Coturnix japonica: one gene and its partners. The protein of the gene in region 1 interacts with the protein of each later gene in a biochemical or structural test. Links are inferred from orthologs where the notes say so. Each region holds a gene or a part of one and is shown on either strand. Other genes may lie near its edges. The genes, in order: RALBP1, DLG1 and RALA.

Evidence for each region.
Region 2: the proteins of RALBP1 (region 1) and DLG1 interact in a test that uses a peptide from one of them, tested with the Homo sapiens proteins (2 studies listed by IntAct, with this or other methods). The link is inferred for Coturnix japonica from reciprocal best matches to the Homo sapiens genes RALBP1 and DLG1.
Region 3: the proteins of RALBP1 (region 1) and RALA form a complex in vitro, tested with the Homo sapiens proteins (3 studies listed by BioGRID). The link is inferred for Coturnix japonica from reciprocal best matches to the Homo sapiens genes RALBP1 and RALA.

What each region holds. Positions count from the first base shown.
Region 1 is NC_029517.1:88,814,303-88,818,476, forward strand, and holds the start of RALBP1 (ralA-binding protein 1), read right to left. Parts: upstream 2,908-4,174; 5' UTR 2,716-2,907; intron 1-2,715. UniProt on the Homo sapiens protein: Multifunctional protein that functions as a downstream effector of RALA and RALB. As a GTPase-activating protein/GAP can inactivate CDC42 and RAC1 by stimulating their GTPase activity.
Region 2 is NC_029524.1:10,829,498-10,833,544, forward strand, and holds the start of DLG1 (disks large homolog 1), read right to left. Parts: upstream 2,801-4,047; 5' UTR 2,518-2,800; coding exon 2,499-2,517; intron 2,427-2,498; exon of another isoform or gene 2,390-2,426; coding exon 2,258-2,389; intron 1-2,257. UniProt on the Homo sapiens protein: Essential multidomain scaffolding protein required for normal development. Recruits channels, receptors and signaling molecules to discrete plasma membrane domains in polarized cells.
Region 3 is NC_029517.1:76,743,209-76,745,878, reverse strand, and holds the end of RALA (ras-related protein Ral-A), read left to right. Parts: intron 1-125; coding exon 126-248; 3' UTR 249-2,081; downstream 2,082-2,670. UniProt on the Homo sapiens protein: Multifunctional GTPase involved in a variety of cellular processes including gene expression, cell migration, cell proliferation, oncogenic transformation and membrane trafficking.

The DNA of each region.
Region 1 (4,174 bases):
ATTTCTTTTTCTGCAGAAGCACCTCACAGCTTCACCCAACTTTGTATATTGCGTCATTCTAAGTACATAAAGGTGAGATAGAACCACCGTCTATGGCTCTAAACTGTGAGCAGTTTGCGGGCTTGGCAGGATTTCAAGCCCTTTAAGTTCTTTGGGCAGTGGCACAGGCTGCCCAGGGAGCTGGGTGGAAATCACATCCCCCAAGATTCTCAAGAACTGTGTGGAAGTGGCAACTGAGGACGTTGGTTTGGTGGCACGGAGGGATGGGTCGGTTGGTTGACTAGATGATCTCAGAGGTCTTTTCCATCTTAATGATTCCGTGATAGGTTGGGATGGGCAAACAGCCTTCCCTTTGCTACAGATCGACCTGCCTCCTCACTTTGTTGTCTCTTTGTTGAGGTGCGTCCACAAGGCCCTGGTGAACAGAAGAGCAAGCTGATAGATTCTTAGGTGAAAATATAAGGCTGGCATATGGAAATGGATCCAAGTTGAAAGAGGGAAGATTTAGGTTGGATGTTAGGGGAAGTTCTTAAATCCGGAGAGTGGTAGGCCCTGGAACAGGCTGCCCAGGGAGGTTGTGGATCCCCGTCCTGGAGGTGTTCAAGACCAGGTTGGATGGGGCCCTGGGCAACCTGATCTAGTAAATTGTTATGTTGGTGGCCTCTGCCAGGCAGGGGGTTTGGAACTACATGATCTTGAGGTCCCTTCCAACTCGGGTTCATTCTGTGATTCTGTGATATGGCAAACTGTGCCTATTTTTAAGGGTGGTGAGTCACTCACTGATTCAAAATAATCAGACATGTTAGTTCAGATTAAGGCTTAGTACGTTACTCCAGGCATACAATTAATGAAGATAAGTGTCATACTATACTTTATTTTGACATTTTGAGGCCAGCTACCTGACACCAAGCTTTGCAGAAGGAAACAACATCTGCATTTGCAGGTATTTATTACTAACCAACAGCATTTCTTCATCTAACTCTGACTGTCCAAAAGCATTCAAAGTCTTGCAGGTAGAAAACATGGCCAGAACATATCAGGGAAGGGCCTAAAAGTTACTTTCTAAGGAAGATAACACCTCCACTCCCCCAGCAGACCTTCACTAAGACAGAACAATGCCAGAATTGCACTGTATTCCAACTTCGAGGCAGCTATTTCTATTGCATGCATGGGAAGACTGAAAAATCAACTTGATTTTCTCAGTTAGAAATAAGAGCCCTGGAACAGATAACCCAAAGTTCCCTGCTTATCCCTTATAAGCAGCCTATTCTTCTCTTTTTCTTCTCAGTAGAGAAAAGCCCCTATAGAGTACATGTCACACTGACTGTACAGGACTGATATGAACCGAACAAACAGCACACCCTGTCAATGACATTTCAAATGACATAAAAAACAAACTAAAAGGGACATCTTTCTATTTCTGTTGTTTAAGCTTGCTAATGAAGTCACATCCATTACAATCCTGGGTCATATCCAACAGAACCTCAATGCTATTATGCCCAAAGGGTTGTATTATAGCTTAAGTTTGCAGTTCAGATCACCGCAGAGCAGTTTGGGTTGGAAGGGACCTTAATGCTCATCCAGTTCCAACCTGGCTTTCCAGACGATTAGTGGGTATAAGAACACAATTGCTGCTACCTTGCTGCAATGGAAGCAGGACATTTACACAAACTCGCTTTACGCAACCAAGAAAATGGCCCTACCTTATTATTTTTTATTATTTTTCATTAAGGATGGCCACGATATTCCGTGAATTGAGGATGGGGGATGAGCACGGTACTGTCCCGAAGGGATGCTTTCATTAGATAGCTGTGCTCGTACTCTAACAAACACAAGCACCTTCAGTCAGCTCAGCTCTATTCCTCCCGCACCTCACGCTGATACTCTCTGCCTGCAGAGACACGTTTTCAACACACACCCCGAAGCAGCCCACAACATGCTGAGCAGCTAACACACAACAAACTGAATCACAGAATCACAGAATGACCCGGGTTGGAAGGGACCTCAAGGATCATGTAGTTCCAAACCCCCCTGCCTGGCAGGGCCACCAAACATACACATTTACTAAGATCAGGTGCCAGGGCCCCTCCAACCTGGTCTTTGAACACCTCCAAAGGACGGGGCATCCACAACCTCCCCTTGGGCAGCCTGTTCCAGGGCCTAACCACTCTCCTAGTGAAGAACTTCCCCCTAACATCCAACCTAAATCTTCCCTCTTTCAACTTAAATCCATTTCCCCTTGTCCTGCTACTGTCAGCCCTTTTGAAGAGTTTACTCCCCTCCTGGGAGTAAGTTCCCTTCAGGTATTGAAAGGCTGCAATGAGGTCACTCCGCAGCCTTCTCTTCTCCAGGCTGAACAAACCCAACTCCCTCAGCCTGTCCTCATAAACTGCAGGCAGACAACTCGCCAAACACACGGACAAACACCGACAGCGGTAAGGGCTGCTCAGACGGTACCTCCAGGTGAAGGCAGGCAGACGGCCGGCCACCCCACACTGTGCCCTCAGCCAACGGGCCGGGCAAGGTGAGCGGGAGGGCCCTGAAACAAGCAGCCGGCCGCCGGGCTAAGCGAGGGGTTAGGCCCCGGGTCAGCCCCTCCCCCGCCCCTCATCCCTCATCCCTCCCCCCTCCCCCGTGCCAGCCCCGGAAGCGGCTCCCTCGCCCTTCACACACACAGGCGATGAAGGGATGGTGAGCGGAGCCGCTCGCACTAACCGTCGTGGTCCCGCTCGCCGGCGCAGCGGCTCCGCCTCGGGCTCACACACGCGGCTCCGCCTCGCTCCCCATCCCGCCGCCTCCGCCGCCCGGCCCGCAAGGACGGCTGAGGAACAGCCGCGCACTACGCACCGCGCACGCGCTGCCGCCCTCGCTCGCACCTCCGCTCGGGGTGAGGGAGGGAGGCACTCTGCGCATGCGCGGTGACGCGAGAGAGAGGCGGGAAGGGGAAGAAGCCTCCCGCGCGCAAAGCACGATGGGTAGTGTAGTTTTCTAGGGGACTCCTACCGGAAGTGGGATGGGCCGGCTTCCTGCCGACGGACTACAACTCCCAGCGGCGGGGAAAGGGGAGCGGCAGTACCTCAGGGGGAGGTGGCTGGTGCGGTAGTTGTTGGCTCCGGAAAGCAAATAGGATCCTGGGCTCCATCAGGAGAGGGGTGGTCAGCAGGGATAGGGAGGTGATTGTCCCTCTCTACTCTGCTTTTGTGAGGCCCCATCTGGAGTACTGTGTCCAGGTGTGGAGCCCTCAGTACAAGAAAGACATGGAGATTTTGGAAAGGGTCCAGAGGAGGGCCACGAAGATGATCAGGGGGCTGGAGCACCTCCCCTATGAGGACAGGCTGAGGGAGTTGGGCTTGTTCAGCCTAGAGAAGGCTGCGGGGTGACCTCATTGCAGCCTTTCAATACCTGAAGGGAACTTATTCCCAGGAGGGGAGTAAACTCTTCAAAAGGGCTGACAATAGCAGGACACGGGGAAATGGTTTTAAGTTAAAACAGAGAAGATTTAGGTTGGATGTTAGGGGGAAGTTCTTCACTAGGAGAGTGGTTAGGCCCTGGAACAGGCTGCCCAGGGAGGTTGTGGATGCCCCGTCCTTGGAGGTGTTCAAGACCAAGTTGGACGGGGCCCTGGGCAACCTGATCTAGTAAATGTGTATGTTTGGTGGCCCTGCCAGGCAGGGGGTTGGAACTACATGATCCCTGAGGTCCCTTCCAACCCGGGTCATTCTGTGATTCTGTGTTATTCTGTGCCTCGTCTGGTTTGTAACGCCCCTAACGGCTGTGCTGGGGGCGGCGGCTGGTGCTGTGTGAGGTAGTGTACCCATGGTGTTCCAGCGGCTTCTCGGCTGGGGTAAACTCATAAAGTTGGGTCATGTTCACTGAAACCCCCCGGGGCAGGCGAGGGCCGCAACCCCAATTGAGCAGGTTGACATGGAAACGTAAGTATTAGCGGTGTCTGACTGAAGGCTCGGTGAGCTACAGGCCTTAGAATGTGTGACACAACCAGCGAGGAACACGGCATATGAATACAACAGCTGGTGCAGCTGTATGGATGTTTACATCCAGCCTGCCTTCCCTATAGTTATAGTTCCCTATAGCTGCTGAGTTTGACATTGACAGCTCGGAAGGCAGCAGCCATCTGCTCAGCTTCATCCTCCTATAACCGCTTTGAACTGGAATT
Region 2 (4,047 bases), on another chromosome or scaffold:
GTTACTGACTTAAAATTACTGCAGTTATTTCACTTACAGAAATAACACTGATGTGATAACGTCAATTTTGTAACACTGCTCACACCGAGTCGCCACTGCCCTAATTCAAGTCATTTTAAAGCAGACTGTTGTATGTAAGAAACAGGTCAATTTTGCAAGATTTCTGAACTAAAATCTGTTGAAGGAATTAAAGGAAAGTATGTGAGCTTGGACGGAAGCTTCTGTCAGTGCAGCTGTGGATGTTTAAGTTGGAGACACAGCACAATTCCTATAAAAGTCACACCTGAAAAATCAGCTACAAGATAATTACAAGTGCAATATTCAAGGGAAGCCCAACCAGCAGCACAGCTTTGTCCAGCCTGTTCACAAGCCTCCACTGCAAGAGGACAGGTAGGAGGAGGGCAGTTAGTGCTCAAGGGCTTCTCAGCCAACACAGCCATCTCTCACAGCACCTTTTCCTGGCAGCCCCCTACTCCCTGCAGGGAGCTGACCCCCTCCCAGGGGGCACCAAGCAGTAGTCCCAGTGTATAAAGATGTTGCCAGGAGCAGCCTGCCATGAGCAAGTACTTCTCCAACTCATTTCCATGGAGCAGGTTAAAGGAAGAATACTGAAGTTACAGCATCAATTGCTGGGAAGTGACTCTCTGCTATCACATTTCAGAGGAACAGCTTGGAGCACTAAAGCACGCTCCTTAACATACAATCACACAGTTAACCACTAAATGCAAAATGAATGTGAAATGCTCTCAAATAGCACAACACCTATTTGTGCACGCTGAGATCAACTGAACCGGACAGAATCAAAGACCCCACGGCTACAACAGAACTTCTGACAGATCAGAAAACAAGGCATGAAGCCCTCCAGCAGGCACGTGGCAACCCCAATTGAAGAGTGCTACTGCCAAGAGCTAAGTTACACAGACAACCTGGCTCTTGTTACAGATTTTAGAATAAAGTGTGTCTTACAGGTTACAATACCAAAGGCCATTTCCGTACTACTGACTTGTATCTCATTCAATTAATAACTAAGAGCGAGATTTCCCAGGTGAAAATAAGAAGCATAACCACAGTATTAAGCTTCCGATACACAACTTCAATGATTTCATTCAGCAAAGAACAAAGTCTGTTCACACACATCACACAGAGGCGCGCAGATCCTCATCACGGAGCTGCTGAGCATCAACTGAGCTCCTGCAAGTGAACCCTTTCTAGAGGTGTCCTATGAGAACAGACCCATTTGAACAACCATCTATCAGGAACATAATACAGGAGATGTTCCATAAGATGCCCAACTTCTGAAAACCCACCTGCAGATGATACAAATGCTCCAAGAGAAAGCAGTTCATGTGCAGCGATGTTTCAACCCTCCTCATGTTTCCACCACAACACAAAGACACAGCACTATGAAGATGTAAACTTGTGAGATAGGCTTCAAACCATGTAACTGCGAAGTAACAGCTGAAACCCAGACTGTCTACAATGTTAAAACAAAGTTTATGTGCAAGTTACTTTGTTAAAAGGGAAGGGCATGAAACTCCAAGCTGTTACATACGCAGTGACAACCAATCAGGAAGAAACCACAGCTCCCTGCCTCCCTGGAGAAGCTGCAAAGTCAGGTCAGGATTCTGCAAGTTGTGCTCATACCCCACGTGTTTATTTTGCTCTGTTTGTTTTCTAAGAGATGTGCAGGAAATTCAAGGCTTCACGGAATGATTTCAGCAATATTTACATTAATGGCTAAAGAGAAAAAGCACCAGAAGTGCTCTGAAGCTGGGAATGAGTGAGGTTCTCACTGCACTTCACAACCGAAGAGGAAAAAGTCAGCACAGCCACCTGCAACATGAGAAGTTTCCTTCCATTCACTTTAATTCTGCTCCTGAAATACACAACTTGCAGCATTTTTAGGGATCCTTCAGCAGGGAGATTTGCCCGAGTTCTAAGAGTAAAACCACTTCAGCTCACTCATTGTGGACACGTGGGCTCACAACTAAAACATATTCCTAATAAATTGTTTAAACCCACAGAAACAGACGTGGAAAACCCGACTGCACGGCACAGCCCACAACAGACACGTTGCAGCGCCAGGGCAGAAAACTCATACAAAGTAAGTGACAGAAAACAGCTCATTGCAACAGCAACGTGTCAGCGTGATACACACACAGCACTGAGGGACACGAGGGCTCCGACAACACAACAACTCGCTTCCCCTCACCACCAACACACAAGAGCCCGACCCTAGAGGAGGGGCATCGCTCACCGATCAGCGCCTGGAAGAGGTTGCTCTGGAAGATGCCGATGACCCTCTCGATGGAGTTCCGCAGCTGCCGATCCTCCGCCTGGCTCAGTTTGGAGCGATACTCCTGCAGGAGGCGCAGGGCGCGCTGCGTATCTACGGCCGAACACGAGACTCTGTGAGCACTACACAGGTGGGACACGGTGCCCCACGACCACCCCCCGGGACCGCCCCACGCGGCTCCTTTGTCCGGGACCCCGCTCACCTTGTTTCCTGACGGGCATGGCCGCTCCGCCGCCTCAACTTGGAGCCCGACCCGGCTCGGGGCGGCGGCGGCGCGCACCCCCTGCCGGCCGGGAGCGGGGGGGACCGCCCCGCACAGCGACCCTCCGGGGCGGCTCAGCGAGGAGAGGGACGGGTCGGGACCAGCGGTGGGGCGGCTGATAGTAGCCGGGCAGGGCAGGGCGAGCCGCCACCACAACCAGCAGCAGCAGCACAACCACCGCCCGGCTCAGCGCTCGGGAATTCCAAACTTTCCAGCCAAAATGGCGGCCTGGAGGCTGGGGGGAGAGCACCCCCCCTCTCCCACGTGACCGGGCCCGGCTGCCGCCCAATCAGCGCACGGAGCGGCCCGGGGCCGGTACCTAACGGAGGGGCGGGGGGAGGAGGCAAGGTGAGAGGTTCAGTGTGTCCATAGCGCTTAGTGCTCACTGTGTCCATAGCACCTATTGCTCACTATGTCTATGAACTTATTGCTCACTATGTCTATGCACTTATTTCTATGTCTAAAGCACTTCAAAGCCCACGTGCACATCGCGTGTCCCGCAGGCAGAGCTGGGAGTCAGAGCCCATCCCGCTGCTGCCGTTCCCCATCCCAGGCTGCATCTCCTGTTGGTTTTTCGGATACAGACTCGGCTTGGGAACATCCCCGTGGAAGGGAAGAACCTCCTGGGAATGGACGTGGGTTTGATAGTCAAAAACCAGCGCTGAGTTCGGCTGTGGAACACGCCTAAAGGAAACGGACCCAGCACAGAGCTCTGCTCTGATCCAGCCCCGTTCATCCCTCAGCTTTCTGCCATGGAAGAGCCCGTGTAGATCTGTGAAGAAAACAACGTGCATTCAGTGTGTTTTACCAATTTATGGGAACTTTACCAATTCCCGTAGCATCAGGGATCTGGCACTCTCTGGTACAAGTCCACATATCTTATAATGAGACCATATTAAGTGAGGATGGACATTGGCTTCATGTGTTTACAACAACACTGAACGTACTTTAAAAGTGTCCATATTCCCCGTGGTGTCAGAGTTGTACATGTACATGAGGAGAAGAGCAGCCCAGATTGAGCCAGCAGAAAGGAGATATCCACGCAGTGAGGTTGGTTTGTTGTCTGACAAAAACATTTATTACAGAGCGAAAAATGAATAAACACTTGCAATTAAATGAACTGAATAAGTTCTTCTTAATCAGGACTTGAATGCTTTTTCAGTGTTAAGATGGAATCCCATAACGCAAGGTCATTGTGGGGATAGAGGAATAATCCCATCTAACACCCTCAGATGGCGTTTCTCACTTGTCACTCATGCACCAGAAAAAGGAAAAAATAAAGATCAAAGAAGGGTCAGGATGAAGGATCAGTGAGTCAGGAAGCAATTAGGTGGGCCCTAATGCACTTCCAATTGGGGCTGGTCCTAGTGCTGCTATTTCAGTTCCAGGGGATATTTGTTGATTCCGAGTGGTTGAACCAGAGCTCATGGTATGAAACTTTAGAATATGGTTTGGAAATTCCAGCACGTATAGAAAATACCCTATGAAT
Region 3 (2,670 bases), about 12 Mb from region 1:
TTTGTTTGCTCAAACTGATTATGTATTGCTGATTTTGTTCTAACCACCAGAAGTAGATGTCATCAGTGATAACCTGAACTAACTCTGACAGTGTTTTGGCATTTATATTCTTCCATCTTTTCCAGGTGTTTTTTGATTTGATGAGAGAAATTAGAGCCAGAAAAATGGAAGACAGCAAAGAGAAGAATGGGAAGAAGAAAAGGAAAAGCCTAGCTAAGAGGATCAGAGAAAGATGTTGCATTTTATAATCAAAACCCCAAATTCTTTTCCTACTTTGACCATACTAATAAAAAAACCATAATTTATAAGCATGCCATTGAAGGCTCAAGTGACTGAAATTACTCTAACGTGTTGGAAATTGTAATGTACCACTAAAAGCATGAATTGGAGCTGCACTGAAAGTCAGATTCACTGAAAAAGGTTGATGTGGCTTCAAGAGAAGCAAACCATTTCATAATCGCCTACCTTCTCACATTTCTTCTGAATGTAGTGTTTCATTGGAAGTCTTTTCTTTATTAGTAAACAGAGGGGGAAATATTACTTTCTGGTTTCTTGTAAAGCATACTTTTTTTTATCATTGATAATTGTCACTTTGTCTTGTCTTTCGTTGCCTTGAAAATTACAGTTGTGAACGTGATACCTAACAAAGCGGCATACACTTGTTTTGCCATGGAGTTATGCAGATTAGGAAAGAACAGTGTATATGCGAACAGTTATGCTGAGGAAAATTATATGTGGTTCCTCATTACCTGATTAACTTAGAAGAGTGATGTAATCTTTTACATTGAAACATTTGAATATGCCTTAATTTTAAAACCTAAACATAGCAGGTTGCTTAGTCAAGGGTGTATTTTCAGCTTGTTGCATGGAGACTCTTCCTGTGCATCAGTGTGAGCCTGCCCTCTCTGTAGAGTGGAGTTACATGAATGATCTTGCTAACTACCTGTCTGCTAGCGGTGTCTGTTCTTTAAATGTGTGCCATACTATGGTTTTGTGAATAATACAGAGCATATTCAGTCATCTGTAGCTTGGTGAACTGATGGTATCTTATAGCTAAAAGGTCAGAATACGTTTAAGATGGAAGTCAAAAGCCTATGGCACATCCGAGCCTGGAGTGGTTGCTTAAAACTTAACGTACTGATACCTTGAAGCTTCCCTTTGTGAGTAGATGTTTGTCTAGATGTTCCTTGGGTTTTAACTCCCTGGAGTAGCGTGGAGTGCAGCTGATTCAGTAGCGCTACTGTATTTTGAGTTAAGATGTTGTCTGGGTAATTCCAGTGTCATTGGTTAATTTCTTTTGTGTTCCTGATACTCAGCTGCAGGAACGCAGTGTGTTCTGCTGAAGCTCCCTGCAGGTTTTGTACTGTTTAGTCTATTTTATGTTGATTTTCAAATGGGGAACATTGTAGCTACTTTTTGTAGTTAATGTTGATATTAAACAATCAAAGATGCTTTTGCAATATAAAAACACTTACTGTGGACATCCAAAATCCCCAAATAAAATGTACTGCCTCAGTTGCTTTAGAACAGCAAGGATACTTGCACATGGTGAGTGTGCTGCATCTTAACTAAAAATATACCGGAACGTTTGAGGGTTTTGGACTCCTCTGGGATAAGATGGGCTAGATCAGTTCCACAAACTGTTACACTTTTTATACGTATGTAAACCTGTAACTGACAATTTAAAATGTACTCAAGCAAACTAGGTAACAAATATTTAACTTTCATGCTAACAGACATTTTAGGGACTCAAGTCTTAGAAGTTATATTTGTCACGTTAAATATTTATCAGTAGGAATTTTGTATGTGCGTTAGTAGACTGCCAAGTGCAGAACTGAAGTTACTCATGTAACTATGGCAAATGAGCCAGACATCATCTTCCTGTGTACTCATTTTGGTCTGTCTAGCCAGGGAGCCTAACCACTAACATTGTGACTTTGCTTTGGAATCTGTTTGCTGGGAGCTGAGGTGTTATGAAGCCACCAGACATATGAAACTTTGTCTTGGCTGATGCCTTACCCTGTTCTTTTGTTTGCTATTTGAGCCATTGAAAGATGAATAAACTTCCACTTTTTTAAATACTCGTGCAGTGTTAATTGATGACTATAGTATGTGTTGTGTTACTTTGTTAGAGTTGAGACTAGTTGTCAAGTTAAACTGAAATATTCCAGAGGTCTTTTTAGTGTTTGTGAACAAAAGAGAATTGTAGATTAAATTTAACCAGTCTGATTAAAAAATCCATTTTGTGAAAGCTGAGACTATGCATGTGCTACCTTTTATCCAATGTTAATTGATCCCTACTTGCTATGCCAGGGTATATCAGAAAGCAGACAGACAAAATCAAGGTAAGTGTGTTCCAGATGTACTTTTCCATAAGGATGGCAAGTGAGTTTTGTTTGCTTTGTTCTTTAAAGGAAATCCTTTAGAAGTCTAAGAAAAAAAAAGAAGTGCTTCTGAAGCTGTGTCTTCTAGCATTTTCTGGGATAATGTAAATTTGCTTCTCCAGCTTGCAGGGAAAGTAAGTTGAACTGTGTATAATAGGATTTTGATACATCCTGAGAGAGTCATCCAATGTGTGATCCATTTGGATTATAAATTCATGCTTTAGCCTACTTCTGTGCCTTAAACTGCTAGGTCTACCTGCTTGAAGTACTTCTTTGGCCTTACGCA